Linked DNA regions of Saccharomyces cerevisiae S288C. The gene in region 1 interacts genetically with each later gene. Each region holds a gene or a part of one and is shown on either strand. Other genes may lie near its edges. The genes, in order: GRX5 and KDX1.

What was found.
Region 2: of GRX5 (region 1) and KDX1, changing one enhances a phenotype caused by changing the other (phenotypic enhancement), as found in Saccharomyces cerevisiae (one study listed by BioGRID).

The regions. Positions count from the first base shown.
Region 1 is NC_001148.4:442,800-445,610, forward strand, and holds GRX5 (monothiol glutaredoxin GRX5), read left to right. Parts: upstream 1-1,779; coding exon 1,780-2,232; downstream 2,233-2,811. UniProt on the Saccharomyces cerevisiae protein: Monothiol glutaredoxin involved in mitochondrial iron-sulfur (Fe/S) cluster transfer. Receives 2Fe/2S clusters from scaffold protein ISU1 and mediates their transfer to apoproteins, to the 4Fe/FS cluster biosynthesis machinery, or export from mitochondrion.
Region 2 is NC_001143.9:148,883-152,803, reverse strand, and holds KDX1 (putative protein kinase KDX1), read left to right. Parts: upstream 1-2,116; coding exon 2,117-3,418; downstream 3,419-3,921. UniProt on the Saccharomyces cerevisiae protein: Serine/threonine-protein kinase involved in the SLT2 mitogen-activated (MAP) kinase signaling pathway that regulates cell wall integrity. May also be involved in the mating pheromone and the CWI MAPK pathways.

The DNA.
Region 1 (2,811 bases):
ATACTAAATAAGAGAGGTATATAAAACACACGCCGATTGGTCATATTAATCATGACCAATATAATAGTGGTTCCGGTAGTTACTATACATTGATGTGACGACTCATATTCCTCATATATGTACCTACCATATCATGTTCAACTAATAGGTCTTTAACACAGCTTCAGTATTGTCTGAGCTTCTCGTTTAACATTCCTTCTGCAATAGGCGCAATCACACTTAAACGTATACGAGTTGTACATTAATATACGATGTAAGCATTAGATTGTTACCATAGCAACTCATGTCACTATTAATTACTCTCGTTCCAACAATCAAAGAATATTAAATGAACTTCAAATATTAAGTAATTCTCCTTGTTCTGCTTCTACGGCTCTAATCCATATTAGCATACCCGATTAATATAATTGCCTGCGATCGAATACCCAATGTACTGGATTTTGTTGGAACAAGTGATTTATCACAGTTCACACTGTCGTGAAGTAATTTGACGGTATATATCATATATAAACAATATTCAATGGTGAAATCAGCAGTTTGCGTTGAATTAAGAACATATACTACTTGAACATAAACTGGGGTTCATGTAAATGGAAAATATGAGCCATCGCATTGAGCATATGGCAGTCATAAGCAGTTTTGATTCTGCTTAAGATTCAATTAAAAGTAATTGAAAGAGTAAAATGTTTTATAGTTCAGTTAGTAACTTCGAGCAAGCTAGTGCTTGCCATTTAGGCCATTGAATAATTCAGTACGAGTATATGCTTATTATTATGGATAATTGATGCACTAGAACACAAGGAGAACGAGTATTTTAACAAATTGAGCTATTACAAAAGGAATACTTAGATACGGCATTATCTGACTTAAGGCTTCTTCATTAGTGATTGATTAAAAGAAAAAATAGAATGCAAAAGCTAAAGGAATTAAGCGAAACTAGGTTCCAGTAACACTTAATTTAGTAGCCTTATCAATATTAAGAAAGGATGGTAACCTCTAATATATCACTGCCATGTAATGAACTTCTATATTTTAGGGATTTAGGAGGGTTCTGATCTGAATCACTTATGTGTTTTATATTTTCTACATACAGCGCGACTGCTGTTTTCTATCCATAATTATTTTAAGCATGCGCTATCGTTTCTACCTAATGACAAATTGTGGTAACAGCCAGATTTATCTCAATATACATTAGTAGTCAATATCTCAAACGACATCGAATGCCGCACATAGCCATTTATTATAACAGATGAGAACCACATCACTTTTTATTACAAGGTGTCCATTATGACGACTGTAGAAGTATGCAAATCATAAGTTAGCCCAAAGAAGACATTTAGATTTTCTTACGACAATACTAATTAAGGTACCACGAACAAAGAGAGAACAGTAGGTATGTTGTATTGCTACGCCAACTTTTCTTGTGATCAAAAAGTTCAATGCATTCATTCTTCTTTATAATATAGTACAAACTGTTAATTTACTACATACGGAATCATGAGATTCTAAATTTAGTATACAGAGCTTAATTTATTCAATAAAGCATAACTAGTGCCGTAAAGAGTCTAAACCGGTATTTGGCACTGATCTGAGCTTATTGGAAAAACGTTACCCGACCAAAATAAATCACTTCTAGGAAGTAAAGGTATAAAGTATTGATGACAAATGCGTTCTAGTCCCAAAGGGACAAGAAGTTGTATTACTCTTTTCACATATATCAAGGCCACAAAGGTATCTGTTTACTTTTTGACTTTAGCAAAAATTTGAGGAAATCAGACAATGTTTCTCCCAAAATTCAATCCCATAAGGTCATTTTCCCCCATCCTCCGGGCTAAGACTCTTCTTCGTTACCAAAATCGGATGTATTTGAGCACAGAGATAAGAAAAGCTATTGAAGATGCCATCGAATCGGCTCCAGTGGTTCTTTTCATGAAAGGTACTCCTGAATTTCCCAAGTGTGGATTTTCAAGAGCAACCATTGGATTATTAGGAAATCAAGGCGTTGACCCGGCCAAATTTGCGGCTTATAATGTTTTAGAAGACCCAGAGCTACGTGAAGGTATCAAAGAGTTTTCAGAATGGCCAACTATTCCACAGTTATATGTAAACAAAGAATTCATTGGTGGATGTGATGTTATTACAAGTATGGCACGCTCTGGTGAATTGGCCGATTTGCTAGAAGAGGCACAGGCATTGGTACCTGAAGAAGAAGAAGAAACCAAAGATCGTTGATTTTGTTACCACTGGAAGCAAAATAGGAACTGGTGGCCGAACACTTTAATACTCGTGTGCATAATAGGCCTTTACGATCCATATTTATATATGCATGTACATTTGCTATTTTTTTAAAGATTTGTAATGTATTCTCATGCCTTTAGACTTGTAAATAACAGATTCTCTACTTACAAACCCCTCTCTTTGCTTTGCCAAATGAATTGACGTTATAAAACAAAGAAGTGAGAATTATGAATATATTTAATATTCCCCGCATAGACTTGAATCAAAAAACGTTAGTTTTAGAATGACAGAAGCCATATCTTCGTTCTGATTCAACGTGCGAAAGACGCGACAGACATTTGTTGGGGTTGTCTTTGTTACTCTCTTGATTTTCGATAGATTCCGTACTGTTACCAGTTTGCTTTTCCCCCATTTTTTTTAACGTAAAAGGATTGGAAGATAATAGGCGAGCTCAATTTTATTGCCCTGCGAAGCTTTCAAATATGTTAGTCAAAGGATCAAACTTCCTTTTGAAGGTGATAGGGATATAATGAACACACAATTGTGCCTTTAAGCCATTACTCACGAGTGGGA
Region 2 (3,921 bases), on another chromosome or scaffold:
CCGTCCAGTTTGGTTTACCCTCGTACCATCAAAAGCCTACAAATTCACAGGAAAATCGAAAAAAGATCCTTTCAAAGGTATTTTTCGTCGTGGTTTATTTCCAATGTTGTCATCTTTTTGTCTAACATCTCTCCCACCGATTTTGTCTCACTAACGCGATGATTTTGAATAGGAATGTAGTTTGAACTGTGAAATCATGACAGAATAAGCATGTTACATATAAATATTGGTTACCGTATTTCTTACGCTAGCATACTTCAAGTGTCTTTTGTACTTCTTAAGTTCTTTTGTTTTTGGATAATGATTTAATGCGACACATTGAAAAGGATAATGAATTCTTGCTGGGAACCTCGAACCAAATATTGTGACCTGGAAATGTTGTGTGCAAGACACCGTGAAATCACGCAATAAGACATATCTATACCGTGACAACTCCAAAAAATCCTAAAAACGGCAATTACGTGCAGAAGAATAACGGAAGTTCAGATAGTGGAGAGAAGAATTTATTCTTGTCCCTAAAATGCCCACCAGAGCAGCACTTCTAGTAAGCACATGCATGCTCCACCGCAAATCATCATATTGACGGTATCACACTATAAAAGAATAAAACATGTTGCAAGGCATAATTACTACCGAATTGCAAAAAATTGAACACCAACTTAGCGTGGTTCTATCAGAGAACGACATATCAATTCCTCACAATGAAAAACTAACTGACTAGAATACTTCCACTTTGGTGCCGCATTTGATGAAACAGCAAATAATACCTACACTTAAGTTGAATGAAGATTTCGTTTTCTTTGAGATAGCTCGAGGACATTCACGAAAGAAAAAATTTTAAAGAACAGTTTATAAGCTCTTTTTTAGAATCCTATTCTGTTTACTTCACTGTTCACTTACTTTCGGTCCCACATCTACAAAACATCTACAACAAGAACGTGGGCGATACAGCAAAAAATCACTTGAAATAACAGAATCAAGTTTCTTATCCGATTTCCTACTTTTGAGCTCCGGCTTATGTTGAAGATGTTACTTTTCTTTGTCTCTAAGTGATCTTTATTTTTCTGGCTCCAGTGAAATTTGGTAATAGCATAGTCACTTCAACTAAAGTCTGATAGTAATACTTGCAAATATTGCAAAACTTGGAAGAATGTTAATGAATCATTTCTTGCACCATTCTTTCAATCATCTCAATCTCCTGCTGTGATGTTTAAGTATAACATTGAAGACTATGCCCTAATTTCCAATGTTATTTAGTTTTAAGCATATCTTTGTTTCTAACAGGAAACTCAGGCCCACATCCGCAAAAAAATATGTGCCAAAAAACTTTCAACACTTCAAAGATACTTACCACTGCAGGAAAATAATCTACGTGTAACGGTTTGAAAATAAATTTGACTTCATAATTGGACATAAGTACTCCATCGCCATCCCTTTTTAAAGAAGTTTCCACAAGAATGAATGGCTAATCGCAACTAAATCTTTTCCTTGCAAACGTAACACAGTATCGACATTTTCTTACTCAATCCAACGAAGGAATAACCTATCTAAAAAATAAACGCCGTAGTTTTCAGCCCACAAGACGTCATTAAAAGATTTGTTAATTATAAAAATAGAAATATTTCTACCAGCATGATTATTCGTTACTTGAAAGTCCCCAATAAATTTCACTGTTTCCGTTAACTGTTGTAGTTATTAAACGCAGCAAACAGATTATTTTGAACAACACCGGAGAAACACGCGCAGACCCATTCGAGTTAAAAATAGTAACTCGCGATCAATCAATGCAGGAAGCACCGTAGGAATTAGTAAGAACTCGTATTTTGATTGAAAATGCCATGAAAGCAATTGACTTGCTGCAGTAAAAAGCGCTGCCACAAACTTTGTAATTTTCGACAATGACGTTCTTTTCAGATGGTTACTGTCTTTTTTTGGAAGAAACAAAAGAAGGTACTTTTATGATGTTATACTAGGCAAAAAGCCTATTTAATGTAAGTCCTAATTGTCGTTTGAGACTGGATGAAAAGGGACAAAATGGAAGGATAACTAAAGGTGACTTACCGCCAGATTAATTCGGCCTGGAATAGTTTGATATCGAAGAAAGATTCACAATTAAATGGCGACTGACACCGAGAGGTGTATTTTCCGTGCATTCGGCCAAGATTTTATCCTAAATAAACATTTTCATTTGACAGGTAAGATTGGTCGGGGCTCACACAGCCTTATTTGTTCTTCAACTTACACAGAATCGAACGAGGAAACTCACGTGGCTATCAGAAAAATACCAAACGCGTTTGGCAATAAACTATCTTGCAAGAGAACTCTTCGTGAATTGAAACTACTAAGACATTTAAGAGGGCACCCAAATATAGTGTGGCTCTTCGATACTGATATAGTATTTTACCCAAATGGGGCACTAAATGGCGTTTATTTATATGAAGAACTAATGGAATGTGACCTTTCTCAAATTATAAGGTCCGAACAACGCCTGGAAGACGCACACTTTCAAAGCTTCATATATCAGATACTGTGTGCTCTGAAATACATACATTCTGCTAATGTTTTACATTGTGACCTGAAACCAAAAAACTTACTTGTTAATAGTGATTGCCAACTAAAAATTTGTAATTTTGGGCTATCGTGTAGTTATTCAGAAAACCACAAGGTTAACGACGGCTTCATTAAGGGTTATATAACCTCGATATGGTATAAAGCACCAGAAATTTTGCTGAATTATCAAGAATGCACAAAAGCTGTCGATATTTGGTCAACAGGCTGTATCTTGGCCGAACTACTTGGTAGGAAACCAATGTTTGAAGGGAAGGATTATGTAGATCATTTGAATCATATTCTACAAATACTTGGAACACCACCTGAGGAAACATTGCAGGAAATTGCCTCTCAAAAGGTGTATAATTATATCTTTCAGTTCGGTAATATCCCGGGAAGATCGTTTGAAAGCATACTACCTGGTGCTAATCCAGAAGCGCTTGAATTGCTAAAGAAAATGCTAGAATTTGATCCTAAAAAAAGGATTACTGTAGAGGATGCACTAGAGCATCCATATTTGTCAATGTGGCATGATATAGATGAGGAATTCTCATGTCAAAAGACCTTTAGATTCGAATTCGAGCATATCGAAAGTATGGCGGAATTAGGAAACGAAGTTATAAAGGAAGTATTTGATTTCAGGAAAGTTGTTAGAAAACATCCTATTAGCGGTGATTCCCCATCATCATCACTATCTTTAGAGGATGCCATTCCTCAAGAAGTTGTACAGGTCCATCCTTCTAGGAAAGTTTTACCCAGTTATAGTCCTGAATTTTCCTATGTAAGCCAACTTCCATCACTAACTACAACCCAGCCATATCAAAACCTTATGGGAATAAGCTCTAATTCATTTCAGGGTGTTAACTAAAAGGAAAACACCTTCAAACAAGATACTAAGCATGAAAATAGTGAACTACTGAACGGACCTACTGAGCCAAATATAACAAAAATGAGCCCAGTTTCATCGTCTCCCCCAGGTCACGATATAAATGTCAATGATGGTACAAACCAAAATACAAATGAGGATGACAGCGATTTTTTCTTCGACCTAGAAAAAGAACTTGAATTATTTAGACGATAAATTTTTGTAGCAGAAAACCACAACTAATAGATGCGCACATACACTATCTATAATGAATATGTAAAATGCCTGTTCACCTTCTTAATTATTGGTATATACTTCAAATATTGCAAAAAGAGAAAGTCCTCTCGGCGGTTTTGCAGTTCCTTCCGAAAGCGGGAAAAACCAAAATGTGAGAAAGTAGGATACACCATTGCGTAGATTCGCGATGATCCGAATATAAACATGATTCCCTCGTCAGTCCTCTCTCAAGTTTTCTTTCCCGTTTTAAATAGCTTACTAATATTTTC